4 linked regions of the Alligator mississippiensis genome follow. The protein of the gene in region 4 interacts with the protein of the main gene of each other region in a biochemical or structural test. Links are inferred from orthologs where the notes say so. Each region holds a gene or a part of one and is shown on either strand. Other genes may lie near its edges.

The links.
Region 1: the proteins of CDC42 (region 4) and TRIP10 form a complex in vitro, tested with the Homo sapiens proteins (3 studies listed by BioGRID and IntAct). The link is inferred for Alligator mississippiensis from reciprocal best matches to the Homo sapiens genes CDC42 and TRIP10.
Region 2: the proteins of CDC42 (region 4) and CDC42EP5 form a complex in vitro, tested with the Homo sapiens proteins (2 studies listed by BioGRID). The link is inferred for Alligator mississippiensis from reciprocal best matches to the Homo sapiens genes CDC42 and CDC42EP5.
Region 3: the proteins of CDC42 (region 4) and ARHGEF7 form a complex in vitro, tested with the Homo sapiens proteins (2 studies listed by BioGRID). The link is inferred for Alligator mississippiensis from reciprocal best matches to the Homo sapiens genes CDC42 and ARHGEF7.

What each region holds. Positions count from the first base shown.
Region 1 is NC_081831.1:24,055,811-24,063,031, reverse strand, and holds the start of TRIP10 (cdc42-interacting protein 4), read right to left. Parts: upstream 3,018-7,221; 5' UTR 3,003-3,017; coding exon 2,952-3,002; intron 1-2,951. Other genes in the region: retinol dehydrogenase 8, read right to left, coding at 5,446-5,676, 6,947-7,130. UniProt on the Homo sapiens protein: Required for translocation of GLUT4 to the plasma membrane in response to insulin signaling. Required to coordinate membrane tubulation with reorganization of the actin cytoskeleton during endocytosis.
Region 2 is NC_081828.1:39,179,504-39,187,451, forward strand, and holds the start of CDC42EP5 (cdc42 effector protein 5), read right to left. Parts: upstream 3,013-7,948; 5' UTR 2,450-3,012; intron 1-2,449. UniProt on the Homo sapiens protein: Probably involved in the organization of the actin cytoskeleton. May act downstream of CDC42 to induce actin filament assembly leading to cell shape changes. Induces pseudopodia formation in fibroblasts. Inhibits MAPK8 independently of CDC42 binding.
Region 3 is NC_081824.1:353,744,528-353,751,577, forward strand, and holds the start of ARHGEF7 (rho guanine nucleotide exchange factor 7), read right to left. Parts: upstream 3,005-7,050; 5' UTR 2,682-3,004; coding exon 2,517-2,681; intron 1-2,516. UniProt on the Homo sapiens protein: Acts as a RAC1 guanine nucleotide exchange factor (GEF) and can induce membrane ruffling. Functions in cell migration, attachment and cell spreading. Promotes targeting of RAC1 to focal adhesions. May function as a positive regulator of apoptosis.
Region 4 is NC_081836.1:1,492,781-1,500,041, reverse strand, and holds the start of CDC42 (cell division control protein 42 homolog), read right to left. Parts: upstream 3,014-7,261; 5' UTR 2,914-3,013; exon of another isoform or gene 2,910-2,913; intron 1-2,909. UniProt on the Homo sapiens protein: Plasma membrane-associated small GTPase which cycles between an active GTP-bound and an inactive GDP-bound state. In active state binds to a variety of effector proteins to regulate cellular responses. Involved in epithelial cell polarization processes.

The sequences.
Region 1 (7,221 bases), on a different chromosome or scaffold from region 4:
GTAGAAATACCAGCTTCTCCACTTCAGACATGTACCCTGATGGGGGATGGGAGATGATTCCTGGGTACATTGTAGGCTAGTAAATATAGAAACTGAGTTCCCAGCTCAATGAGCTGAGGTACATCCAACCCCCTCCCCACCCCCAGCAGATTCAAAAGCTGCATTCACTGGCCAGACCTTGTGATACCTTAACACCAGTCTCATGCTTTTTAAAAAGGCTTTCGTTTTAACGTACTGGGAACAGGGAGCTCTGGGGTCCTGGCTGCTGGCTAATCCCGGTCAGAGCCAGCTCCAGCTTATAAACTATTTAAAAGAAGGGTATTTTTTCTTTGCCCTTCTGTTTTTCCAAGGAGATTGTTTGCCACCCCTGATTCAACACCTTCCTCATTTCCAGGCCTAAATCTATTCTTGGCTCCCGCCACCCCTTGTCCTTCAGCTCAAAGTCCTCGCCTTCCTGCTCAAGTATTTATAGCTCCTCTGTCTCACTGCCAGGCATCTTCACTTCTTCCCCACCATTGCTCCAGCAGCCCAAAAAGGAGAGAGAGTTTGGGGTGCTAATCCCCACCTCTGCCCCAAGCATGGGATACAGTTAGGAATGACCTGGTTGCATTGACTGGGAGAGGCTCTTCTGTGCTGGTCCAGTGCCCCTTGGAGGAGAATCGTGACACTGCAACATGTATCATAGCCTGGGGTCAGGCAACAGGCAGGGGTAGGGATGGCACTGTATAGACTAACTTGGTGGGGGGGTGACCTCTTTGGCAGGGAGCCACAGAGTAATGCCAGGCCCTTCCCTGAGCACTACTCTGATCCCTTCCCATGCCCAACCAGCAGCCCTGTTTCCTGTTCCCTACCCCATTGGCTAATTTCCTTTCTGCTCCCTACCCTGGGCTCCTGGCCCCATCAGTTGCTCTACTTTCTGCTCCCTGCCCCACCTGTTGCTCTCCTTTCTGCTCCCTGCCCAGAACTTCCTGTTCCATCAGCTACTCTGCTTTCTGTTCCCTCCCTATACTCCCTGCTCCATTGGCTGCTCTGCTTTCTGCTATCTGACCTGTGCTCCCTCTACCATTGACTGATCTGCTTTCTGCACCCTAACCTATCCACCACTATGTTAGATCCCAGACTACCTCAGAAGATACCAACTCTTTGTTTCCAATCCTTTCCTGACTATAGAAAAATCCCAGAGAAATTCTTCTATAGCAAAGGCTTCATCAAACCTAGAACAGGGTGGAGTGGTTTTAATCTCATAACTAAGAGATGGACCCCTCCCCCACCTCCTACCCCTGTCACTGACTGGTGTCAGAGGAGGGGGGCATGTTCCCCCCTGACTCAAGAGGCATCAGGCACTCATGGTGGTCTGGCATTGGAGCAGGCTGCCCAGACATGTGGTGGAGTCTCCATCCCTGGCTGTGTCCAAGAGCAGGTTGGATGGACACTGGGATGCAGGTTGGATGATTTAGGATGCATCTGGTGAAGCAAGCTGATTTCATAAGTCTAGAAGGTGCATGTCTACCCTGACGTCTGGGCTAGTTTAGCTAAGGGAGATCCTGCCTGGAGCAGGGGGTTGAGCTAAATGAGACCTTGTGGGGCCCCTTCCAGCCCTGCTTTCCTGATGATCTCAGGATTTACCTGTTGATCTCTGGGCTGATCTGAAGAATGAAGACTGCCCAATAAATCTCATACCAAAGGGATCACTACGGAAATTGGCTCTGAGATCATAGAAAATTAGAGTTGGAAGGGACCTCAGGAGATCACCTTGTCCAAACCCCTGCTCAGACCAGGAACATCCTCAACTAGATCATCCCAGCCAGGGCTTTATCTAGCCGGGTCTTGAAAACCTCCAAGGATGAAGATTCCACCACCTCTCCGGGTAACCTGTTCCAGTGGTTTACTACCTCCCCTAGTGATAAAATTTTTATTAATATCTAACCTAAACTTCCCTTGCTGCAACTTTGAACTATTGCTCCCTGTTCTGTCATCCACTACCACTAAGAGTCCAGCTCCATCCTCTTTGGAGCCACCCTTCAGGTAGCTGAAGGCTTCTATCAAATCCCCTTTCAGTCTTCTCTTCTGAAGACTAAATAAACCCAGTTCCCTCAGTCTTTCCTCATAAGTCCCCCAGCCCCCTCACCATTTTCTTTTCTCTCCACTGGACTCTCTCCAATTTCCCCACATCCTTTCTGTAGCTGGGGGCCCAAAACTGAACACAGTACTCCAGATGTGGCCTCACCAGTGCTGAATTGAGGGGAATAATCACTTCCTTTGATCAGCTGGAAACACACCTACTAGTGCAGCCCAGGATGCTGTTAGCCTTCTTGGCAACTAGGACACACTGTTGGTTCATATTCAAATTATTGTCCACTATAACCTCCAGGTCCTTTTCTGCAGAGCTGCTGCCAGGCCAGTCAGCCCCCAGCCTGTCCCGGTGCATGGGATTGTTCCATCCCAGGGCAGGATTTTGCACTTGTCCTTGTTGACATGAGATTTCTTTTGGCTCAATCCTCCAATTTGTCTAGGTCACTCTGAATCCTAGCCCTAGCCTTCAGCATATCTACAACTCCCCCCAGCTTGGTGTCATCTGCCATCTTGCTGAGAGTGCACTCTACACCATCTTCCAAGTCGTTGATGAAGACACCGAACAAAATTGGCCCCAGGACCAACCCCTGGGGCATGCCACTTGATAACAGCTGCCAACTACAAATCGAGCCACTGATTACTACCCTCTGAGCCAAATGTTTGAGCCAGTTTTCTATCCACCTTACAGTCCATTCATCCAGCCCGCACTTCCTTAGCTTGCCTGCGAGAACGTTGTGAGAGACTGTATCAAAAGCCTTGCTAAAGTCAAAGTATACCACATCCACTGGTCTCCCCGCATCCACCTCATCACAAAAGGCAATCAGTTTGGTCAGGCATGACTTGCTGTTGGTGAATCCCTGCTGACTGTTCCTAATCACCTTCATCTCCTCCAAGTGCTTAGAAATGGATTCCTTGAGGATCTGCTCCATAGTTTTTCCAGGGTGCCCAGTAAGTGGCCGAAACAGCTCTTACCATATTTCTTGCATATAAATGAGCACTCTGATACCCAGCAGCTGGGCACCCAGGGGAAATCTCACACCAAAAGTATTACCAAGGGGCTGAAACTGTTCTTCCCATATTTCTCATGTATAATGAGCATTCTGATTTGCAGCAGCTGGTTTTTTGTTTTTTTTCAGGCCAGGCTGAATAAGCTGGAATGAGATACTGAGGGAAAGGCACTTGGCCACAGACTTTGGCGTAGGATGGAGGGTGATGTGTCCTTGCCGATGACTCAACCTTCAGGCTGAAGGGGCCCTGGCAAGGCAGCTCCAGGGAGGGGGTGGAAGGGAGAAGCGCCAAGTCTGGACGGTCAGCAGAGCTCCCTATTTGCACGCTGCTGTAGTGAATTATTCACCTCCAGGTCTCCTGAGGCCTCTGGCAGCCGAGATCTCCCCCCTGCCAAGAGCAGCATGTTCTTCGCTGAGGTCTGTGTGCCTGAGAGGTTTGTGCGCCTGGCGCCAGAGAGGCCCGATAGGAGCAGAACTCAGGCATCTGGACTCCCAGCCTCCCCCAACGGAAACTAAAACCCAGGCATCCAGGCTCGCAGCCTCTTGCCCCGCTGCCCCAAATGGAAATGGTGTCTGAGCACCCTTCCCCCCAGCAGCAGAGAAGACAACCCAGGCAGCGGAGGTCCCAGCCCCTCCCGCAAACAGAGCAAAAACCAGGAGTCCAGGCTCCAGCCCCTCGCTGCCCCAAGCAGAGAGACCCCAGGCACCCGCACTCCCAGCCCAGACCTGCCCCTCCCAGAGCAGAAACCCCAAGTCCTGGCCCCAGGCCCCACTTTAACTAGGTCAGGGATTCTGTGTCCACCAATGGCTGCGCAGCCTCCTTGCCCCTCCCCCCAGAAGTGGCTGCACCCAAGGGCCCCAGAGCATGCTGGGAGCTGTAGTTCCCACCTAAGCCCATGGCACACAGCATGCTGGGAAATGTAGTTCCTGCCCCAAAGTTTCACAGGAAAAATCATGTCTAGCTTCAGCCTTCCATGCTGACATGAACCCCTACAGCCCCCATTGACACCTGCCCTACTGTGCTCCTATTGGCTACCTTTCAGGGGCAGGCTCACACACAGGGCTCCACACTGATTGGTGGAAGGGCAGGGCTGAGTGCAGGGATTGGTGGAGCTGCGGGTACTTGGCTGTGTAGGTCAAAGGCAGGTGAGAGATGCACCTTATAGACTAACTAAAGATGTATAAACAGAAAAACCCAGACATCTGGACCCCAAGCCTCCTGTCCCTGTGGTTCCACCCCAGAAGCAGTCGCATTTCAATTCCAAGATTGACCTCTGCCCCCACCCCCCCCAAAACGTGCATTCTGGCCCCAAAATGCTTCATAGAAACATAAAAGTTACCTTCCCCAAGAGCTAACTTCAACCAAGGCCACTTAACTCTCAGTTGGGTCTCCCATCCCTGCTCTAACCCAACCAGACCCTGCTTAGCTTTGCAAACTCAAACAGCCCAGTTGGGGGGGGGGGGGGGGGGGGTTGTAGAGGCTGGGGTACTCCCTCAAGTTGACCTCAGATCAGCTCCAGCCCCTCCCAGAGCATAGAGGGAGGATGAGATAGGGCTGCAGGTGCCAGCTGGGGATGCAAGTCTCATTGTTGCATAGGTCTAGTCAGGTCATTTTGCCACTCTGTGTGTGCCTCAGTTTCCCCTCCCAGGGCAGGAGGGAGTGAACCTGGGGACAGCAATGCCTCCTCAAACCTGCTTCCTGGATAACCTTAATGTTCCTAAGGTACCCCCCATATGGGCCACAGGTTGGGCATTGCTATGCCAAGAAATATGGTAGTTGCTGGGCTCTCTTACCAGCATCTTCTAGCAGGTCCTGCTCTGTACCAGGGTTGGAACAAGTTGTGAGGGGCAGCTGGGATTCTCTCGCCAGCTCTAGGAGTGGGGGTAGATGCCTGGGTTCTGCCCCTGGCTCCGGGGAGTTGGGGCGGGGGGTGGTTAGAGCAGGGGCCTAGGAACCAGACACCTGGGTTCTCTCTCAGCCCTGGGAGGGGGGTGAGGTCTGGGGAGTCAGAGCAGGGATGGGCTGGGGGCCTGGATGCCTAGGTTCTCACCCAACTCTGGGAGTGCGGTCTGGGGTGTCATGGGGGGGGCTGGGAGCCCGGACACCCGAGTTCCACCATCTGTAGCCCAAGAGGACGCCTCTCCTCTGCCTTTCACCATGCAGGTCTCCCTGCTGCTTTAATCCACAGTACAAATTGAACCTCCCCTGAGTGGGGTCAGCCCCCAGGGGCAATTCACAGCCCCACCCAGATCCCTACTCCCCACCCTTGCCCCATTCCCGCCCCACAAAAAAGCCGGCACCTCACGCCCTCCTGAGGATGCTAGAGGGGAGGTGGCTGTATGGGGGGGGGGGGAAGGCTGGGGCTCAAGGGGTCTTGGTGTGGTCCATGTCCCGGCGCTTGCGCCACTGCAGCAGCTTGAGCAGGCTGAGGCTGGCCTTGAAGAGCCGGTCATGCTGGAAGATGAGGCGCTGGAAGGCAGCAAGGGGCAAGTGCCCGCTAGTGTCTGCGTGCTTCAGTGTGGCCAGCGGTGCATACAGGCTGTTGGTCTGGGACCGGAACGGCGGCGACTCTGACGTGATCACCCGAGCCGTGTGCTGGAGAGGGGAAGGAGGAGGGACCAGGGCCTGAAACCGACTGGGGCTCCGGGAACACAGATCTTCCCCAAGTGCTGGGGAAAGGGATCAGTGGGTCTGAGGCTGCTCTAACCCTGAGCATGCCCCGCCCTCCCCAGGCCAGATCCTGAACCTCCAAAGTACAGGGGGGGGGGGGAGTGGAGTCAGTGGGTCTGAGACTGAGCAAGACCCTGGATAGACGCTTCCACGGCTGGATCCTGAACCCCTGAAGTGCCATGGTGGGGGTGGGGTCTGGATCTGAAGCCTATGGCTGGATCTTGAACCCCCAAAAGGCCAAGGGAGAGGGGTAGAGACTGACCAGGCCTGAGACAGACCTATGCTCCAGCCAGACCCTGAACCCTGGGGGGTGGGCGGGGGGCGGGGATCCAGTGGGTCTGAAACTGACCAGAGCTGCAGACATACCCCCAAGTCTGGATCCAGTTCCCACCCCACCCCCAACCTTGACCCCCGCAAAGCATTGTGTTGGGGCAGGATCCCAGACTGACTAGGGCTGAGGACACACAGAGCTCCCCCCTGGCCAGGTCCTAAATCCTCAACATGCTAGGGGGGTGGGGGGGACTGGGTCTGAAACCAACTAGGGCTGCAGACATGCCCCCCCACCCTGAACCCCCAAAGTGCTGAGGGAGGAGCAAAGTCAGTGGATCTCAGATTGACCAGAGTCCCCGATACCCCCAATGGCCAGACCCCGCCTCCTGCCAGACCCTGAACCCCCAAAGTGCTGGGGGAGGGGGGGGAAGTCAGTGAAACTCTCTCCACCCCCCACAGCCAGGCACCCACAGCCGGACCCACCCCCTGAACTCCCAAAATCAGGGGAAGCAGGTCAGCAGGTCTGAACATAACAAGGACCCTGGACCCCCCCCCCCCCCCCAAGTCTGCCCTTGAACCCCCAAAACACTGGGGAGGGGGGCAGCATCCAAGTGATACTAACAAGGGCCCTGGACATGCCCCCCAGAAAAAAAAATCTTACAGCAGGACATGTTCCAGAAAGCTGCTGCAAGAAACCCCAGCTCCGGGCACCCTGAGGTGTAGATTTAGGGCCTATCCTGCTTGGGGAGACCTGGGTGATGGTCCTGCCCTCTCCCCCCATGGCTTGGAGGGGTCACAGCAGAGACATACCCGTCCACCCCCCCCCCCCCATCTTTTAGGGTGGAGGGTGCTGAGTCATGCCCAGTCTGGGTTGGCAGCCAGCACCCCAGAAAATGGAGGATTTGTGGGCAAGGGGATTTCCTACCTCGGCCACCTCTGCCGGCGACTGGGCCAGGGCGGCAAAAACCTCCCGAGAGTAGGGCAAGTAGAAGCCCTGGAAGAGCTCCCGCGTCTCAGGGTCCAGGCCGGACAAATCCAGGGTGGCCGCCTCCTCATACAACTTCCGCTCAAACTCCGTGGCCACCGGCCCTGGCTCAATCAGGCTGATGCTGGGGGGTGGGCAGGAGGGCAGATGTGGGTTAGATGTAGGGCAGCCAGGAATTCCCCCAGAGCCTCCACCCTGTGGGCTATGACCTGGGA
Region 2 (7,948 bases), on a different chromosome or scaffold from region 4:
GGGGGGGAGAACCATGTGGGGTGGATTAGGAGTGCATCCCCTGCCCCCCCACCCGCCTGCCCACAGAGGGAGGTGATCCCCTCCCCTCCATCACTTGGATCCAGCTGTGGGACAGGGGATCCCAGCCCCCAGGGTAGCTCAGGGCTAGGACCTTGAGGTGGAACCCAGAGAAGAGAGAGGCATCTAGACCCCCATCATCTCCCCAAACTCTCATCAAAAGCCTCCACCGGAATGCCCCAGACCTACCCCCCAAGCCTATTCCTCTGACTTGTGACCCCGCTGTGCCAGCCCCATCCTGTTCCCTTGAGGCCCCCTGAGCCCACCCCTCCCACCCACCCAGGACACCCCACATCCGCAGGCCCCCAGCCAAGGCTGCCAGCTGGTGGATGGGGGAGGGGCGGGTCTGCCAGAGGAAACTGACTTCACTTCCCTGGGACAGGAAATCACCTCCCCACCCCCCGCAGCCACACTCGGGCATCCAAGCCCCCTCCCTGCGCAGATCTCCAAGGCCTGGGATAGAGGCACCCCTCTGCCATCAGCCCTGCCAGGTTGGCTTGGGCCAGAACCCAGGCACCCGGGCTCCCATCCCCACTGCTACGCCCCGGACCCCATGCACCTCCCAGAGCCGAGACAGAACCCAGGTGTCCGGGCTCCCAAGCTGAGATGGGCCTAAAGGGAAGAACCCCAAGACAGGGAAAGGGGAGCCAGCGGGAAGCAACGACATGGGCAAAGTGACTGGGTTGGCAAAGGAAGTGGGTGGCAGGTCCAAGAAGGACACAATGTGGAGGACATTGCTGGCACAGATCAGGGCCGGGGGGTTTTCTCCCTTGGCCATTGAGAGCATCAAGCTTTGGATGGGCAAGCCAAGAGCCCAGCCTTAGTCAGAGGCTGGATGAGCCATGGCCTCTCCACAGCCTCAGTGCAGCAAGGAGCAGACAAGGCCAAAATGCCTCAGTGCCAAGCTGGGGTCTGGGGCTCTCCACAGTGATAGAGATGGCTGAGAGGGCTGGTCCCAGGGAAACATGATCCAGACCAAGGGGAGACGGGCCTAGGGAAGGGGATGGACCCACTGGCGTCGGCCAAAGAAATGGTGTGAGGAAGAAGCAGTAAGGGTTGGGGCTGGCAGGGGATTAGATAAATGCAGGAGTAGCAGGAGCAAGAGTCAGGGCCAAAGAAACCAAGATGGCAAGAGAAAGAGCCCAGTGGGCTGGGATGAAGGAGCTGAGGAGGAAGAGGAAGCCCTGGCCCTGCACTACACAGGGAAGAGCTTGCTGAAGGCACTGGCAAGTGCAGGGCCCAGCTCCCTCCCCTGGAACTGGCACAGAGCCCAGGTGTCCTGGCTCCCAGCCCCTGAGCTCAGACCCACCAGACCTCACTCTCCTCCCAGGGCCAAGGAAAGAACCCAGGTGTCCCAGCTGCCAGGCCCCCTGCTCTAATCCCCTCCCGGAGCAGAGCAGGGGATAGCAGGAGCCTGGGCTCCTGGGTTCCTGCCTGCCAGGCCTTGTGGAAGCAAGCCCCATCTCCACCCCCTCCCCTTCCCAGGGAGAAGGCGGACGGGGTTCATCTTCCCAGGGAGGCAGGTGGAACTGTGTCAAGGGAAGGGAGATCTCTGGGTACCAGGCCTTGGGGAAGAGGCATGACGCCTGGGTTCTGTCTTCAGCTCTGGAAGGGGCGTGGGGCCTGGGAGCCTGGACACCTGGGTTGTATCCTGGCTCTAGCGGGTGGGATCTGCAGTGACTGTGGCACAACTTCACAGCCCCTCCACCCCACCAGTTCCCCCTGCAGGGGGTGGGTGAAGGGAGTGGGAGCCGTATGCTGCTGGGGAAGGGGAAAAGCCAGGGAAGGCCCGGAGCAAACAACCCAGGAGAGTAGGGGGCCAATCAGCTCCCCCCACACACACTGGGAGGGGAGAGGCGTCTGTGGGGTTAGAGCAAGGGGCTGGTGCCAGGACGCCTGGGTTTTCTCCCTGGCCCAGCAAGAGAGACAGGAACTCTGTCTCCATGGAGCTGGGTGAGTGAGGAAAAGGTTGGGTGTTCAGGAGCTGATACAACCCTGAGGAGGGAGAAGGGAGGGAGGAAACAATAGGTATTTCCCACCCAGGTGAGGGGGCCATGGGGTCCTGCAAGAAACAGAGAAGCAAAGCTCAACCACCAGGCCTCACTCCCTCCAAGAGCTGGGAGAGAACCCAGGCATCCGGGCTCCCAAACCCACCCCACCCTAAACCCCTCCCAGATCCACAGCAAGGACCTAAGACTCTGGACTCCCAGCCCTGCCTCACTCACCTCCCAGATCCAGGGGCAGAACCCAGACGTCCAGCCCCTGCATTTCCCTTTCCCCATCCATGCCAGGGGCCCCCCCCCACGCACACTTTCCCTCCAGAGAACCCCGTTTCCTCCCCCCACCCCCAAATCCCTCCATCCGAGCCTGGAGCCACCTCGGTTCCACTCACCCTAACTCAATCCGACGTCAGGAGAAATCCGAGTTACTGGGATCCAGCCAAAATCTCCCTCTTCCTGTTTTGTAATCCAGCGAGGCGCCCGATGCCGACTGAGCCCAGGGAGCCCACAGAAGCCAACACTTGTCCCAAATCCAACAGCACGCCCCGTTCAGCCCGTCTTCATCCAGCCATCCTCTTCTCCCAGAAGCGCCCGAGTCGATGCAGGACCCCTGGCCACTCTCCTCCTCTTCTCATGTATTTCTTCCTTCCCCCTCTTTTCTTTTTCCTCCTCCGTGGAGCTGCACTCTCTCCCCTCCCTCTGGGGCGTGAGCTCCAGGACTCTTATTTACCTGCATTCATCAGAGACATGGGAGTCATGAGATGCCAGATCAAGATGCGCCACTTGGAAGAGCCCCTCCATAGAGGAACTCAATGCCTCAGTGGCTTGATGGGTAGCCCAGTTCACGGTCTCCCGGCCTCTGGAAGCCAAAGCAAATATTGTGCTAAAGTGGGGAAAAAAAAGCCATTGCACAGCCCAACTTCTAAAGTTCACTGCATTCCTGAGCTTCCGGCCCTGGCAGGGCAGAGTCAGCAGTAACACAGAGGCAGGCTGGAAACGGGGAGGTTCAGAGGGAAAAGAAATATGCATGTGTGTGTGTGTGGGTGGCGTTTGAATTAAATTAGGGGCAAGCCTGGAGTTGGGTTTGGGTGAGTAAGATGGGTTAGAAGATAAGAGGGATGGACAGAAGGATGGAATGGGTGGGTGGAGAGATGGGTGGATGGAGAGGTGGAGGGGTAGGTGGAAGGATAGATAGAAGAACGGGTGGAAAGAGAGGTGGGGGAATGGATAGATGGATGGACTGATGGGTGCATGGATGGGTATGTATGGGGACAGATGCAGAGTGTGGAGGACAGAGGAGTATTTATAGTCTGGATGGAGAAAGGTGGGGTGTATATGAGGGGGCTGGCAAGATGGATGTGTACACAGATGGAGGGGAGGATTTTTTGTGGTATCTTTTATTGGACCACCTGCATAGCCCAGAGAGCTGTTGGACAAGCTTTCAGGCACCAAATGCCCTCTCCTACCTTTCCTGGACCATGATGGCTGCACCAGCACTCCAACCCTACTATAGTAATGGAGGGAGGGAATAGATATAGTTTGTTTAAAAGCATTCACCTCTTAGTGATCTGATAAGGAGCCTGGGTTATGGAATACAGTTAAAACGGATGTAATACATATATCAGAGGGGTGCATTGGAGGTGGAGGAATGGATGGAGGAATGGATGGGTCATAAACAGAGGGAATTGATGAATGGATGAACAGACGGACAGGTAAATAGGATGGATGGATGGATGGATGGATGGATGGATGGATGGATGGATGGATGGATGGGTAGAGAGGTAGACAGGGTGGATGTACAGACAGACACATGGATGGGTGGGTAGGTAGGTAGAAGGGCAGAAATGGGGATGGCTGGAGAATCTGAAATATTTCTCTCTTCTTGCTCTGGCGTCTAAGGGAAGGACACCCTTCAAAACCCAGGGAATTGGGCCTCCAAGCAGATTTTTAGCCAGAGATTAAATTAGTCCTCCAGGCCTGAGCTGAATGGGACCAATTCTCAGCTATAGGAATACCCAAAAGCACAGGAGGGCCAGGCAGAAAACACCCAAATGGCTCATCCAACAATCCCTGCCCTCAAAAATCTCAGGAACTTACATGCAGACACTGACAAAAAACCCAAGGACGAGAAGGTAGGAAACAAAGGGCTGGGACTTACCCTGCCAATCTCCCCACTCTGCCAGTCTCACAGGGCAGTGCTTACCCACATACATGTGCTAATTTACTCCCAGGCAGGCACTTCTGGCAAGAGATGCCAGCCAGGAGGAGACGCAGCATGAAAGGTCCATCATACACACACACACACACACACACACACACACACACACACACACACACTCTCTCCAGTCTCCAAGATCTGGTCATGCAGCCCCAGTCTCTGTCATGACCTCAGACCAAAGCACCTCAACTAGACCAGAATGGAGTAAGGGTGAGGGTGTGAGGGAGGAAGGGCAAGGCCTGGGCAACACTCTACCCAGGGCATCAGCCATGCACCCACAAATCTCTGGTTATGGAATACAGCTATAAAGAGAGATCTAATATATATCTCAGTGAGGTACACTGGTGGCGTGGAGGGTGGGGAGTGTAGAGGGATAGATAGGTAGGTATAAGAAGGGATGGATAAGTGGGTGGATGGATAAGTAGGTACAAGGGATGGATGGGTGGATGGCAAATGGATGGATAGGTAGATAGATAGATAGAAGGGATGGATGGATGGATGGATGGATGGATGGATGGGTAGGTAGGTATAAGTGAGAGATGGATGGACGGATGGATGGGAGGCGTCTGGTCTGGCTTTACTGAATTCAGCCTCAGGGACACATGCAGAGTCTGCACATGTGAGTAACTGGGGTGAGTATGTGTTGGCAGCATAAAGGGGAGATTAAGAAGGGGAGAGAGAACCTTTCCTTCTAGATTTTGGAGCAGGGGCTCTTGGGTATTTTTCATGTACAGTCCCTGGTATGACAGGGGTCCCTGAACTCAGGACCCTGGGCAGCACCTGCATCCTGATCTTAATTGCTATCTGGGCACCACTCAACACAATGGATACCAGATGTCAGTCTGAAGGGTCTGGATGGCCCCTGGTGTGAAAAGGGTCCTGATCTCAGCCTGTCTGGGCGACGCCTGCTCATGGCAGCGAATTCATCTCAGCTGGTGTCTGGGCAGTGGCCAGCAAAGCCCATTCTCCATCGGGGGTCTCTTGGTGTTACTAGAATATAAGTGAATCATTCTACACTGCTGGGCCCAAACTTTTCACCCCACAGGCCTCATGGCAGTGCCAGGTCCATCCACAAGCCAGATCCGGTTGATGGGCCTGATTAAGCACATGAGGCCAGTGTGGCAGGAGCCTGATCTAGACGTGCAGGAGGGGCAGGGGTAGGGATGGTGCAGCCCCAATGGGGGGGGGGGGGGGGGGCTGGGGAGCAGCTTGGCTGCAATCCTGATGTCTAGGGGGTGCAGGGGGTCATAGCTCAGTCCTGATCCAAAGATGCAAGGCAATGGGCCGGGGGAATTGGCCCCGCCCATGCCCAGGTAGGATTTGATCCAGCCATGCAGATCTACCACCACTCCCCTGCTGCCAAATTTCCCGAACCGTGAGGATCCCCGCGGGCCAGATGCCATGGCTCTGTGGACCAGATCTGAGCTGTGGGCTGGAGGCTGAGCCCCCCGGTCTTCACTGTAACCATAATAAAAGATCAGACCCAGGAGAACAGCAAAAGCATGAAAACAGCAACAAAGGTGCCCACAAGCAAAGAAGGCGGCAATTTGTTCCAGAAGGAAGCAAGTTACCCAGCCAATCTGTTCACCTTGCAAATCCAAAACCTCAAGAGAGCAAGGGGACAAACACAGCCTCCCCCACCAGCTCCGGGAGGCAGGGAGCCGGGGAACACATAGCAGAGCAGGGCACAAATTAAGCAGCCAATCAGGGAATCCAATGACAAAGTGGCCCAGAAATAGAGCAGTGCCATCCAAGACAGTCACTAGTGAGGCTAAGGGCAGGAGCCCACATGCACCAAGCACCAAGGCCTGCTCAGGCGAAACAAACACGCTTACAACATGCTTAGAACACGCCCGGGGACACGTGACTTGGGGTGTGGCCGCAAGTGAGACTTGGCCCCTAACCGGGTGGGTGGGTGAGGGAGAGGCGGCTAAGGCTGGAGTGGAGATGGACCTGAACAGAAACACCTTGACACACCCTGAATGCACACACACCATCCCCCACCCTGAATACACACTCAGTATACACACACTCCACACCCAATACACACACACATAGAATATACATGAACACTCAATTACACACACCTCCACACACAGGCGCACTCGCACCCTTGCATTCACACACAGACCCAGGGGCCCATACCCACACCTCTCCATGCTCACATTGACTCCATGCACCCAGCCCCACGCCAGAGGGGTCCACCTACAGCACAGGTGCCACTAGTGGCACAGGCAGCCTCAGTGTGTGGCTCATGGGAGATCAGGGAGGGAGTAGGCAGCACAGCAGCAAATAAGGCAGGGAACGGAAAGCAGAGCAGCAGAGCAGGCAGGGGGCACAGGGCAGTGAGCAGAAAGCAGAACAGTGGATCAGGCAGGAGAAGGGAATGAGAGTGGTTCTTGGGGAGGGTGCGGGGCTAATTTATGAGATGCCCACCAAAATGGTTGTCCCTCACTGCCCTGGACACGCACAGCCTGCAGTCCCCCTGCCCCCTATTCCACACACACCCTACAACCCCAGCAAACATACCGCATACATATCCCTATGCACACATGCCTACATATACACTGCAGCCCCTTACACACAGCCCCCTATGTACCCCCCCCAACAAACACACACCCTTGGATTTACACTCACACCTCCCCACTGCTGGACACTCCCCCACACACACCCCTGGGCACATACATATGCAAACCCCTGGACAATACCCACCCTCCCTGGACACCACCCCCCACACACCCCTGGACAACACCCAAGCACTCCTGAACACACACATACACACCCCTAAACAACCCCCACACACTGCTGGACACACCCTCTCCATCCCTGGGCACACTCCTGTCTCCCTCCCCCAACATCCAATCCCCAAGCCTGGACACGCACAGACACACACCCAGCCTTGGACACCCACTCTAACACTGCCCCCCCCCCCAATCCTGGGCGCGCACACACACCCAGTCCCGGACAGACAGACAGAGACATAGACAGACAGACAGACAGACAGACACACACACACACACACACACACACCTCGCTCTGCAACCCCTTGGACCCAGAGCCCCTGCCCTGCGCCCCCAGCAAACACTGCACCCCAGGGACTACACGTACCCCTGTACTCACCCCGCGCTCACACACCACACGTTCAGGCTCCCCTTCTCCATCCCTGGGGGCTTCTCCCTTCCCTTCCCTTCCCTTCCCCTCCCCTCCCCGGCCCCGGCTCCCACCTCCAGCCGCGCCGTAATCGGGACAGTCCCCGCCGAAGCCGCCTGCCCCTTGGTTCGCACCCCTGGACGGGGAAGGGTTAAGGGGGCGTGACCTATCACGAAGCCCCGCCCCCGCCCTACCCAAACTCCCCCCACAATGTACTTTTAAGGGGACAATGCTCCACATTTTTAAAATTGGGATTATGAGTGGGAGCTGGGCAGGGGGAAGCCCCCAACCTCCCCCCGCCCCCCCCCCCGAGAGTGGGGTCCGCAGGAGGGAAGGGAGGGAGACCCCCCGGGGCTGGAATTTCCGGACCGTGTGTCCGCTCCAGGGCGGATCCCTGCCCGGGAACTGGGGGGTGTGGGGGGTGCAGGGAGGGAGGGTGGGAGATGGAGCGATGAAAGGAGGGGTAGAGGGAGGGAGGAGCAGAGCGGTGGGTGGCGTGTGGGGCTGTCAGTGATGGACAGAG
Region 3 (7,050 bases), on a different chromosome or scaffold from region 4:
GATTCCATTTTTCTTGCTCACCCCAAACTACTATTGTTGCCAAGTAGTAATATACATGCAGAATGTTTCTAAACAGAATCTTTCCAAAGTTTGATAGGAAGTAGTTTTACAAGTCTGTCAGCTATGTCTGTAGATTGGCAAGTCGACAAGTGCTATATGGGGGGCGAGAAGGCAAAGCAGCCTTTTTACCACAAAGACTATTAACTCACTCTGTGGTAGAGGGATGACTCAGGCAAACCAAGTTAGGCAGCTAGAACTGACACAACCCCAACTTGAGCAAGCCGCAGACTCTCTACAGCCACTATTCTAGCCAAAGAACCATAATAACGGTTTGCAAATTGCTGAGAAGTCCGTTGGTTCCCAGCCACTGCATCTATCAAAACGTGGATCCAATGACCTCAATAAAGACCTATTCAGAGCTGCCTGAACAATACGTAGGGAACATGGAGGGCCGCCTTTGTGGCTGCTCCAATAGTGTCCCACTGCACAAACCTAACACAGGGCCAAACCGTCATAAATTTCACCTTAACTAAAGTGGGCTATATTTTTGGTGGTACCAGTTACTCTAGTAGCTGGTCTATATATTTATTTATAAAACTATTATCTTGTCATACTATATTTATAAAATAAAATAATGAGATACTGTTCCTATCATCTTTTCCATTAAGCTTTCTTTATTATTATTATTATTATTTGCATTAGAGTAGCACCTAACATCCCCAATTATGTGCAGGGCTTCATTCTACGCTTCTATCTATGTGCACAGTAAGGCACAGTCCCTGTTCCAAAGAGCTAGACTCTCTGGCTCTGATGCAGCTAGGACTGAGGTCTGGTCTGCACTACAAAGTTTTGCTGACATAGATACGATAACTAGGGGTATGAAAAGATAGCAAATACCCTTGAGAAGTTAAATATGGTGGCAAAGCCCCCAGTCTACATGCAACTTCACTGACAAAAAGAAGGTATTTGCCACAATTAAGTTTCTGTTGTTGGAGACGGTATAACTACATGAGCCTCTGTCTGCATACACTGCATCTCCAGCCTCTGACAACAAAGATGCACCAGCAGTGGCAGTAGCTCTGTAATGTAGACTGACCCTCAATTTTGGATTTTTTGCACTGTGTAAATTAAGAATATGTTTGAATCTTTGCAAGACTGAATCCTACACAGGCAAGAGAAGAAGAAAAATTATCACTTGTGTTTCACAGAGGGGGAGACTGAGGCACAGAGAGACTGACTTGTTTATGTTCACAAAGGCAGGTAACAGGTCACAACCGTTGTTGCTTATCGCACTGCCCATAAACTCCTTTTTCTCCACTTAAGTGTATGTTGCCTTTTGTCTTATCATTACATTGTAAATTCTTTGGTGCTGGGGTGACCTTTTTGGTTACCTGTTTGTCAGGAACCTAGTACCACAAGGGTCTCTACATACAAACTAGTGTTGCACAGTAGTGCCAAGAACAGCATTCCCTTAACCGCAGTCCAATACCTCAATTACAAGGCAATTCTTCCTCAATTATGTGAATGTATTTTGCAAACATAGGTTTTTAAAATACCAACAATTGATCTCCTTCATTCTTTTGCTCATTATCTGGTAAAGTTCAATAGCAAAGAGCTGGCGCAGGTGCCAATAGGTAGGTCAAAGGTTCTATTTCTGCTCTGTACGGGGAAAAAAAAAAAAAAAAATCACCTGCCTCTAATTTCACCTTCAGACAAATACCAATCCCTCTACTATTCAGGAGAAAAGCCAGAACTGGAATACTTGGGCTACCTGTCCGATCATACGAAAGACTATATTGTATGTTGGGGTGTGGTATAAGGTTTCAAAACCCCCTGAATTGGGAACACAAGAGGAATTGCTGTATGGCAAGAGGCATGACTGTATCATAAGTGAGTTTATTTCATGCCTTTCACACAAACTCCAAATTGTAACCTATGTTTGCCATGGGGGGGGGGCAGAGTTTTTTTTTGAGGAATAGAGAAAAATATAAAAAGGCGGAAACAACAATATTAAGCCCCTGGCTAAACAAAACCTTGGCTGGGATGATCTAGTCGGGGATGGCTCTGCTTTGAGCAGGAGGCTGCCATAGATGCCCTCCTGAGGTCCCTTGCAGCCCTCGTCTTCTATGAGGAGGCTGACAACCGCCCAGTGCAGGAGCTCTGGGTAGCATTTTAAAACATGCCTCTAATGCTTACAGGGGGGAGGAAAAGGTACAAAATAGGAGGCCTAAATAAAACAAAACACGCTCCCCACACAAGCCAATGCTTACAGGGGCAGCATCATGTGGCCCCGGGGCCAGGTGAGGGATGCCCGGGCCCCGCAGCTGCCCTTCCCCCCACAACACAAGCCACCTTGCAAGGAGGGGCTGGGCCGCGGCCCGCGGGGAAAGCCCCTTCCCGCGCCCGGGAAGCCCCCGCAGCCAGGCGGGGCCGCCGGCTCCCTCCCGCCCGGGCCCGGGTCCGGGCCGCCAATGGCGCCGCGGCACAAAGGGGAGCGGTGCCGCGCAGGGACTCACCCGGTCGATGGTGCCGGGCAGCAGGCGGTCGAGCAGGCGGCACAGCACCACGCCGTCCTTGAGCGACGCCTGCAGAAAGCCCTCGGGGTCCGCGATGCTCTTCTTGGGCGACTCCAGCACGCCCAGGGTGATGAGCCACGTTACGGTCTGCTCGGCCGAGCTCATGGCTGCGGCCGCCCCGCGCCCTTCACATAGGAGCGACGCGGGCTGCAGGAGCCGCCTTCGCCGTCCCCCGTCCCTGTCCCTGCCCTTCCCCGCGCCGATGTAGCGGGCGACGCCCCGCGCGGCAGCGCCGGGAGCTCCCGCTGTGCTCGGCCCGGCCCCCACGTGACGCCGCTGGCGGCTGCGGCCCCCTAGCGTCCGCGGCCCGGGCGTGGGGAGCCTGCGGGCCGGGTAGGGCCGCGCCGCGCGTGTCACACGCGTGACCTTCGCACGTCTCTGGGCGGCACGCGAACAAAGAGCGGGCAGGATCTCTCTCTCACACACGCACACGGGAGTCTCGGGCAGGCACCATCTGGCAGAGCATTTAAATCCCCTCCCCCTGCAGCCCCGCTGGGGGCCCAGATGAAGTCTCCGCTGAGGCCTACACGGCCTCTTGTCCCCCGAAGGGCGGGGTCAGCGTCTGCTCAGGTGACTTGGAGTTGTGCTCCCTCTTCCTCGAGGGATACCTTTACTCAAGTTAGTCTATGAAGGCGTCCATCTCCCCTGCCTTGTGTCAGCCAAACCCTCTCCTCACCCCTCAGCAACCCAGGAGTCCCTTGAATTCAATATGCAGCCAGGTAAATTCCGCGGCAGTCTTTCTGGACTAGATTTGCTCCGCCTTGAGTTTGCCCTGTGTCGAGTACGGGTTTCCCTCGCTTTATGCTGTACGTGCGTTCCTGGAAAAACTGCGCATAACTCTGAGTCGCATAAAGGGAACCCACTTTACAATGTAACAAATAGGGATACTTCCAAGACCTTGATTGTACTGACCCCCAGACCCATTTCTACAGGACAATGTCTACTCTCCAACAGCAGACAGTACACACCAGCACAGGGCACTATCATAATGGGGATGGCAACTACAGAAACACATGTCGCAGACAACCCGCAAGGAGCACAGATCCACACAGGAGACTATATTTTGGTGCGCATCACTCCCACAATGCACCGCACAAAGTAGCTGACTGCGGGTTTCCACCACACCAATCGCATAAGAGTGAATTTATGTCGTATATAATGACTTTTTGGTATAAAAAGGGTAATTGCATAAGAGCGAATTCACCCATACAGAACCCACATAAAGTAAGAGAAACCTGTAGCGCAGATCTAAAAGAACAGACAGATTTGCGCTATGTGCCCTCTGGTGGAGGGTTGGTTAGTGCCACTTGGTAGCAGTCTGCGAGCTCGCTCGACAAACCAATGCAGAGGCATGTCATGTATGTCTGGGGCAGCGTCATGTGTTTGGCATGTCTGGGACAGCGATTCTCAACCCCAGGAAGGCCTCGAGAGTCTTTCAAGGGTGCCCTGGTCTGACAGGCTATGTTAGCACAGTTAGGTGTGCAAAGACTCTAAGATAAACCCAGAGATTTCAAATAGTGCTGAAGCCATTCTGCCCTGTTATGGGCTGAGTTCTATGCAACAAAACAAACTAAAAAAATTAACAAAACAAAACAAAAAATCGCTTCATTATTTTTCTGTATTCAAACCAGGAGCAAAAGCTAATAGTCTGCATTTTCTAAGGAGTTTCCTTGAGTCCATCTATGGGTGCCATGCGCCTAAGAAGGTTGAGAACCACTGGTCTAGCGCGAGTGCTTTAGGACGGCTGCGTTTGAGAGCCACTAGCATTGTCCATAAAGCCAGACAGACCCTAGAAGGAAAAGAAATAGCAGAAATGAAGGACATCCCCCAGAAAACTGCAGTAGCCTGAAAAAGCAAAATTTGGCCACAGCAAGTAAAGATGTGCTGTATAGGGCTGCTGGAAGCCTTTGGGAGCTTCATATTAAAATGCTCTCGTCAAACCAAAAGAGACTTGTGATGGCTTCTCCACTTTGATAAACTTGACACACTCCACATACTACCAAGTCATCCCTGACAGTGATGACATCCCTGGGTTACATGAAAATATTCCTGAAGAAAAAATGTTTTCCCTCTTAGGAACATACTAAACTGCAGTTGATTTTAAAAATCCCAGGGTGAAGATACCTCCTGAATTCCCCTACAAAGCTACACATCTATTTCAAATTACACAAGCTGAACAGGGGGCACTGAATGACCATATTATATTAGATTCATTTTAATTCATCATTTTTTTGGTTATAGTTAGAGTGTTTTTCTTTAAAAAGGAGAAAACGTGAATGGATTCATCAGCCTTTTTATGTCCTTTCTGCAAGCAAGCTCATCACAGAAAATACAGCTCAATGGAAAGCTGAAAGGGATTATTTTTATGGGATCGCCTTCTAGGAACATTGGCAGCACATTCCTGGCCCAACTGATCCCATTTGCACATTTTTCTCATTTGCTTACAATTTATATGAGCAATGAAGCCAATTACTAACACTATGTATGGTGGCTAAAGTGCTGGCTTTTCTTCCTGTGTTCACTTCCAGTCATCATGTCTGCAGTCTGCCATATGTTTCACTGGTTTATTTTCTGTGACTTTCCACAATGATGGTTTCTGGTAGCAGCTGAGAGCCTGACATAAATACTTAGAAATATTTTGAACATTAACCTGCCAAAAATTATGTGTGCCTTTTTTCCCCCAATTAATCTACTTGTATGAGGAAAATTATCCCTGTGTTGAAAGCCTTGCCTAGACTAGACTAGATGTGAGGAGAGTAAACTAGGATTAATATTTTTCAGTGTTAAAGCATCCACCGCAAGGTGCAAAGTTGTGTTAAAACTGTGTTAACTAATATATTTTCAAACAAAATCTACCTTTCTTATTTACATAAGGCTTCTGGCATTCCAGGATTTAGCCCGTTGTTAACAGCCTGTCCAATTTTGCTGTATGCTACTGCCAAATCAGCTTCTTATGTATATAGGAACTGTTATTCAGGATATGTATATAGGAATTGTTATTCAGGATCTGACCAATGATGCATCTAATTCAGTATCCTATCGCTGAGCATGGCTGACACCAGATGCTTCTGAGGAAGATGCAGGTGCCCTTGCAATAGGCAGACATGAGATAATTTGACTCATGACATTATGTCTCCTAATCCCTACTAGTTACAGACTTTCTTAAACACTGGAGGATGAGGTTGAATATCGCTTTTTTATGTTAGCATTATCTTTTGTAGCTTTTGCTTTTCTCCTTCAGTTTTACTATAAGGCACACCACTGTACAGAATGAATAGAGGACCACTCAGCATGGCTAACAGTATAAAATACCGCACTGGAAAACCTCTAAGCAAACTTGCTTCCATCATAGGAACCCGTAAAAAAGTTTTCAACCATTTCCAGAGAGAAACTTTCAAAAGGGCCTAAGAGATGTAAGTACATAAATCCCTTTAACTTTCACCTTCTGCATGTGGACTTCAGAAAAGAAAGACAGGTTTGTGTGTAACCAAGCATACACACAAGCCAGCAGGAACAGCTGCAGAAGCAACTTCCCCAGGGATCCAGGGGCCTTTAGACACTGATGCCACCAAGCTGTTTTCTGCAGTGAACGTTTTCTGCCCTTTACCGATTGGCTGCTGGCTTCAACTTCCCCCTCCCGCACAGTCTCCTCAGCCTGGTTCTAGCTGCCCTTCATGCCCTTCTCTTCTGTTCTCTGACACCTCCCATTCCTACCTCCACTCTTCCTTTTGCTGCCTGTTGTTCATTTTCACTAATCACTTCCTTTCTTCTATTCTGTCAACCTTGCCTTATAATGTATTAAACACAAATAATAAACAAAAGCCCCACCATAGTTACTTAAAAATTCAGAATGTTTTTAACACTATGGGTTCCTATTTGATATCCCGGTTTATCTCATGAATCATATTTGCACACCTAATGGTTCTAACATTGCGTGGCACTGCAGCACCCCTGAAAGAATCTCAAAGCACCCCAGCGCTGGTTGAGAATTACAATCTCTGGTTTAAGTGCTACCATAACCCAAATGATAAATCATAAACATTATTCTTAGCCTTCACCCCTTTTAATTGGAAACAAATCTACTTCACTGTTAAAGCTGATAAATATATTTGTTGATTGATCTGTATGTGGTTTTTGGCCCTCTTTTGTTTCAAATTGTCTGTAAGCTGATCTTTACTCCCACTTAAACACACATCATACATGATCATACCTAACTCCTCTGAAAATATTCAGCTAATCAGAGGGCATTTTTTGCTATTGTAGAAACTTTAATCCTCTTAAACATATGAGCAGCCCGGGGAAAAATGATTGGGATATTGGTACCCAATCTTTTAGGGGCAGTGAGGGCAGGAGCAAACTCTTTCTGCTTCACGTTGTTCATGGTTGATCCTTCCCCTGATTTTTATATTCCTTTCTCACAACCCTCTATTGACCAGTGGAGGAGAGCGTGAGAGATTTTGGCCAAGCAATTTTG
Region 4 (7,261 bases):
ATTACTTCAATTAAAAGAAGGAATTAGTAAGAGTCAGAAAAGCAGAAGTCCAAACCCAACATGAAATACTACCAGTGCTGCTAACATCCCTAAGGCTTATATTCACCAGTTTAATGCTTCATTTGAGGAACACAGGTAGGTTTGGATTTGTTTCTTTCATTCAACAATTCAATAAACTACAGGATGTTTAACCAAAACCCTCAGACTCTCTACTACTTGAAACTAGTGTTTACTTCTCCCAGCCCATCATTAAATGTCGGGCATTTATCCACACACCACTCTAGCCAAGTAGTGGAGAACCATAAATACCCAGGTCACCTAGAATTCTGTACCAAATTTTAACCCTATGAAACTAATGATAGTTTTGCCAGACTGTAAAACTAATAGACCTGTGCGAAGTGGCTTGTATTCGCTCCGGATAGGGCCAATTCGGGGGACAGCGATACAATTTGGTGATTCGAATCGCTGTCCCAAATCGATTCTGCCGAATCTGATTCAGAGGTTTGGCTGGTGCTGAATCACACAGGCATCCCATCCCCTGCCTGCTCTCAACGGCTGCCTTGCCTGCCCCAGCTCTGGCTCTTTGAAGAGAAAACAAAAACGCCTGCACTCACCCGTGCTGCGTGGGGGGCTCTGCCACAAGCCCCCAGAAGCCCCAAGGCCACTGTAGCAGCCAGTGAGTGCAGGGTGGGGGGTTTGGGTTTTTTTCAGAGGGCCAGGAGCTGGGGTGGGCAGGGCAGTTTTGGTACTAGAAAGGACTTTCTAATAGACACAAAGGAGCTTCCATGCTGAATTAGACCAGCGATCTATTTACTACTGTAACTGTCAAAGACTGACCTAGTGTTAGACATCTGACAGGAAGCAGCAAGATACTCAGAAATGAAAATCTGCACTTACATGTTCACATTAGAGAGGGGAAGGAGTTTCCTCTTAGCTCTAAAATCCACTGCCTTTCAATTTACCATTGCTCTTGTAACAGAGATAACATCAATAAACCCCCTCCCCCAAGTAACCAACTTCTTACATTCATTAATTGCATGTGCATTATCTCCTCAGTCATCTCCAACCTCCTTCTCTCAGCCAGAACTCCTTCCACTCCTATGCCTTCAATTTTGCACAGCGAGAATTTTAAAGTAGCCTGCTAGTCATATTCAGTGCAAATTATTTCAGTGCTCAGGAAATCAAAACTATTTCATGTTTAGAGCCCTAATTTAGATTGTTTACTTCAGAAATGTTGGAAAGACTGCAGGAAACCTGTATTAGCAATGAAAACCTAATTTAATTTCCTGGAATAAGTAATCATTTTATAGCATCCTTTTTTTTTTTTTTTTTCAGTTTACCAACCATGCACCTAGTCTCAAGATTATCAGCCTAAGCGTGAGCAGCCACATACAAAGACACTACATATATGTATATCGGTTTTACCTGGTGAAATTTTGACATAAAGCTACCCACTCTTTGGTACAACCATTTTGTTCAATTATTCCTTATGGCAGGGGTGGGCAAAATGTGGCCTGGGGGCCGGATGCTGCCCGCCAGGCCCTTTTATCTGGCCCGCGGGGCCCCTAAACATTTAGAAAATGAATATTAATCTGCCCTGGGCTGCCTGTCAAGCAGCTCTCGATGGCTTGCCGAAACTCAGTAAGCGGCTCTCTGCCCAAAATAATTGCCCGCCCGCCCCTGCTTTATGGAGACGTACGGTGATCTTTATATAAGGGTAATACTGGAAATACTAAGTGACTGGTTTGGACAGACAGAACCAGCTCTACGCTCCTTAGTAAAAACAGTCTTACCCAAACATGATCATTTTCACAAAAAATTGATTCGTCTGCCGATTTTCCTTTCAGAACATGCTGCCCCTTTACAGGACAGATAATGGGGAACTTTACGGGCGCCATCCATTCCAGCTGCCGAGTCCCCAGACTGAAATGTTATTACTGCAAAAATACTTGATCGTTTCCCTTTGGTCTTGTACTGATGACAAGAGGCAAATAAAGGATCGCTATCCCAAGTCATTCTGCAAACACGCGAGACGCTGACCCAACTCCCGCGCCCCGTTTCAAGTCCGGGCGCCGCGGGTCGTGTCAGGCAGCGAGACGGACGGCGCATCTCGTTCTGCTCGAAGCGCGCCGCGTCTACGGACAAGCCGCGGACTACGGGACTCGATCACAAACTGCAGCGCTGAACCTCTCGGGACCGCACGGCTGCCCGCGATGCGTCTGCCAGCCCGCTTTCATGCCAGGACTGACAAGGCAGGGACGCGCTGGGCCAGGCCGCCCACAGAGGTGTGGGACTCACCCTCCATCCTCGCAGGTGCGCGAGCCCCGGGCGGACAACGCCCTGGCGGGGAGGATGGGGTTGGGGCCGGGGCTGCCCCCCTCCCCGGCGGCATCTCTAGCACAGCAAGACGGCTCCCACCATCTTGTCGGGATCGGAGCGACGAGCGCAGACGGCGGACGCGGGCACGTGCCCGACAACACGGCTCGGCTCGGCTCTGCGCTCGCGCCCCGGCAGCGCGGGGAGGGGCGGGGAGGGGAGGGGAGGGGAGGGGAGCCCGCGCCGCGCCGCGCCGAGGGACCGGGCAGGCTGCGGGTGGCAGCCGGGCGGGGAGGGGAGCGCGGGCTGCCGGCAAACGGCAACGTGTGGTCGGGCGGGGCGGGGCGGGGGGGGTTACAGAGGAGGCGGGGGTGGCCGTGAGGACGTGTCAGCGCGGGGCTCGGGGAGCGCGCCCGGGCCGGGCCGGGCCCCCCGCAAGATGTCTGCGGCTGCAGCAGGAAGTGGCGCCGGGGAGGCAGAGGCAGCGGCCGCCGCCCCAGCAGCGCCCCGCGGCGGAGGATCGGCCCGGCCCCGGCCCCCGCGGGCGGACAGGCCCCCCGGCCCCGGCCCCGGCCCGGCCCCGCCGCACTCACCCACCTCGTCCGCGCCGGGCGTTGGCAGCTCTGCGGGGTCTCCTCGCCTCCGAGCAGGGGCCTGACGTCAGCGCGCACGGCGCGGGGCAGGGCGGGGCTTGGGCGCTGTCGTGTGTCGTGCGCGGACACGTGTGGGGCAAGCGCGTCCCCACCCCGCCAGAGGCCGGCCGGGTTGCTCGTCCTCCCGCGGTGCAAAACCCGACCCCTTGTGCCCTGCTCTTGTCCCCCACACACCAAGTTGTCCGGTTCTCTGTTACTAGAGGACAGCCCAACGGTCCTCGGGGATGGCCACCTTAGGCCGTGTCTGGCCCCAGCCCCACTCCGAACCCGGGCCCGGCCTGCAGGGGCTCAGGCCCCAGTCCCGGTGCGCAGGGACCAGTCGAGGCCCGGCGGGCCCAATCCTGGAGCGCAGGGTGGTCCAGCACGAGCCCCTCCACCAGTGACTCGGGGCCGCGAGGTCCTACCACGGGCGTGCCGCGACTCCCCGCTGCACCGGCCAAGCGGGGAGGTGGGCCACGGGGCTGCCCCGTTCAGCTCCTGGGGCCGGGAGCTCCCCTGGCCCCGGTGCAAGGAGGGGGCGCACGATGGGAAGGGCAGGGCACGGCGAGCTCAGGCGTCGCCCCCGCCCGCTACATCAGCGGTGCTCAACCCTTCTAGCCTCAAGGCCGTCTCCATAAACGCTGCCCACGGACCAGCACGCATTTTAAAAACCTACGCGCCACGGAGCTAGGTTCTAGGCTGAGCGGTTCTCAACCACCGTGTCACTCCACTCCAAAATATTTTGGGGGGTGCCTTCATACTACACTAAAAAAAGGTTGAGAACCACTGCTTTAGAAGAAAGGACTAGGATCCCCTGATAAATTGGGGGGAATGATCTGAAATAAACAGGATGAAATTCAGTAAGGTCAAGGGCAAAAGGTGTTGTTTGTGCTTCAGTTAGGAAGAACTTCTTCACAGTGAGAGTGGCCAAGGTCTGGAACGGGCTCCCAAGGGAGGTGGTGCTCTCCCCTACCTGCGGGTCTTCAAGAGGAGGTTGGATAGGCATCTGGCTGGGGTCATCTGAACCCAGCGCTCTGCAGGGTCACTATGCCGGGGGTCGGACTCGTGGTCTATTGAGATCCCTTCCGGCCCTAACATCTATGAATCTATGAATTGAGGAACCATAGTCAGCTTTCAGGAACAGGTTACATTTATTAATAAATAAACTAAAGGAGATGGATATTAACTGAGAATCAATCCCAGTGGGCAACAGCCCGGAGCCCTGCTCCTAACCCGACTGCCCACTGTCAGTTTTCTCTGAACAACATAGTTATTTTCAGACAAACCTGTTACAAGGCCAATACCCTTACATACACAAAGTGCTACACTTAATAAAAAACAGTCAAATTCACGAATATGAAATGAGGAATTACTGGTTAGTCTGCAGTATTGTGAAAAGGACCTGGAAGCTATAGGAGATGACAAGTGAGTGACTCAACGCTGCAATATCGTCGCACAAAAAGCTAGCAGCATTTGAGATGCATTAATACAATTGTGAGACTCAAGTCACAGGAAATACTTCTTCCACCCTATTCAGTGCTGAGAAGGCCTCACCTGTAGTACTTTCTCCAGTTTGGGGCGCTGCCCGCCCTTCAAGAACTAATTGAACAAACTGGACAGAGACTATGGAAAACCAATAAAATGATTAGAGGTCTAGCAAATATGACATTTGAAAAAAGACTGGAAGAATTGGGATTATTTACTTTGGAAAAGATAAGACAGAGAGGGCATCTGATAATAGCCTTCAAATATAGAAAGGATTGTTATAGAGGATGGCAGTCAATTGCTGTCTGTGTTCACGGGCAGGGGGACAGAAGTAGTAATAAGCTAAAAAGGCAACAAGGGGCAGTAAGGTTAGATTTTACAAAGAACTTCCCCTACCTATGACAGGGGTTGAATACTGAAACACATTGCTCAGAGTGTGGGGAATTGCCAGCACTGGAAGATTTTAAGGACAAATCGGACAAACATTTGGGACGGCTCACAACAAGGTGACAGCGCCTTGAACGGGGAGCTGGACTACATGACCTCCTACGGGCCTTTCCGACCATGTTTTTCTGCTCCTGTTTTTTATAGATTTTTTGGAGCTGCAATGCTCTGGTCACAAAGTGTTCTACTGAAGTGGAGTTTATGCTGCTCAGTAGTTCCTCCAGATCCCTGCACTGTTGCAGAACATGAGATTTCAAAACCCTGAACTGAGACTTCAAAACCAGCGATGCTCCCTCATCCCACGCACAATATTGAGGTTGAAGAGCCCTCACCACAACTCTACGAAAACAGGAAGTCAATGTTTGAAGTAGTACTTTGCACACAATAGAGTCAGGAAATTTGAAGTCTGCCCCCATTCAACAAAATACCCTACTTCTCCAAAATAATCCCCCGAGTTTTGGGCCTGACACTTCTGGCATGATGCAAAGTGCCACCCTGTTCTTCCAGCATCACTGCAGCCAGGGCTACCATGCATCTTGTGTGTGGCATGTCTATAGACACCAAGTTGTTTGGGAAATATTACCGGAGCTGTGCACTTCCTGGTTTTCTAATGCTTATGACTGTGTCTCTGGGGTTTCAACACTAGTCTTTGAAGGGATATGCAAGGGGACCTTAACGGAGCATTTATCACTGCTGCAAGTGTCCTTGTTTCTTGTTTGCAAAAGGGGGAGGGAGTAAGTGATACTTGCTGCCTCTGAGGATAGGAATAGTTCTTGGCTTTCTGTCAATGTTATTAATACTGAGCACTGGAAGAGTTGCAGTTCGAACACACGGGGCCTAATCCTCATTTAAGGCCATTTTGTGCCACCCTAGCAACAGAGGGCAGAACAAGACCCTCAGGACGTCGCGTGTACAGGAACCTCCCTAGTGATCACACAGCGGGCATACAAGCTCCAAGCTAACCCTGCAGCGGACATGAAGCATCAGGAATGTGTCGAGAGTGCATTGTGCTGCATTAACTATAAGGCTGGGGAAAGCAGAGCTGCTCTTGCAACAGAAATAGGGCTGAAATTAGCAGGGCCCTGATCCCTCAAATATACGTAGCTTAGAACATGTTCCTCCTTCCAATACAGAGATGGAGCAAGGGTAGATGGAGGCCACTTTTCCAGAAAACAGCACACTGCACATTCACCAAGACTAAAATGACTGGGAGGGGTCCTCTTTCCCTAGGAGTCAGCATGCTGGCAATGTCAGCAGATTGCTAACACCGCCTCGTTCCACTCCATATTACAAGCCACAGCCCAATAACTGTTCACATTTTAAAATGGGGACTTTTCTTTTTTGGTACTCTGCAGTCAGTCTCAGCAAGGAGAGCCCAGAGATGCCAATTTCTTGTCTCTCCTGCAGGAGCTGGGTGGGCACTGCCAGAAGTGTGGGCAGGAGCTGCAACCTCCCTCTCTTCCCTTCCCCTTGTCTCCAGCTCTGGCAGGGGAAGATGCAGCAGCAGCAGCAGCAGCACAAGGGCAATCTGGGAAATGTAGTTCTTGTTATAGGGTGATGTCATTGCATTTTTTCTGCCAGAAACTGTGGGGGGTTTCTTTGGCCACTAAATGCAAGTCTGTGGCAAAAAAAAATAAAATAAAAAGGGGTGATATTTCCCCTCAGCACCACCAAACCTCCAGCTGCTCTGCTGCCACTGTTCCTCTTTCCCTCCCTGCTGCCAGAGGCTCTGGAGCCAGAGCTGGGAGTACAAGGGCAAGGGGGCGGGGAAGGAGGGAGAAAGCAAAGGGGTAGTCTAGAAATACTCAGGCTGAGGATCCACGTAGGAAAGATCAGCCAAATACATACGTATGGGGCTTTCAGTTGCATGTTTAGTGTCTACTGTTAATTAAGTCTCAGCCTTGTTAAACTTAAGGCACCCTTTGCTAGACTCGAGGCACCCCTCAGAAATGCCAGCGCTGAACTTCCACTTGTTTTCTGATGACAGAAAAACACTAGAGCAATTCTTCTGTTGCACAGAACTCAGAAAGCCCACAGCAGGGCAGAACAGTTTTAATCCTATGGATTCCTATTTCAAATCACTACTAACATTGCCTAGCACCCCATGATCAGTCTGGAGATTTTTGTCTAATGCATGTATTGCAGGCTATTACACTTGCCTAGGCCCCATTCTCATAGCATCAGAATACCTCACTATCCTTAATGTACCTGTTCTCACATCCACCTGTGAAGTAGGAAAATGCTTTTATTCTCATACCCTGACAGGGCACTGGGCACCAGCTGCCTTGTTATATCTCTGCCCCCACGCAAGCAGCTGCCATGGCTGTAGTCACTACCCCATGCCCTGGGCTGGATCTGGCCTAGAAGGAGCCCCCATGGTCCAG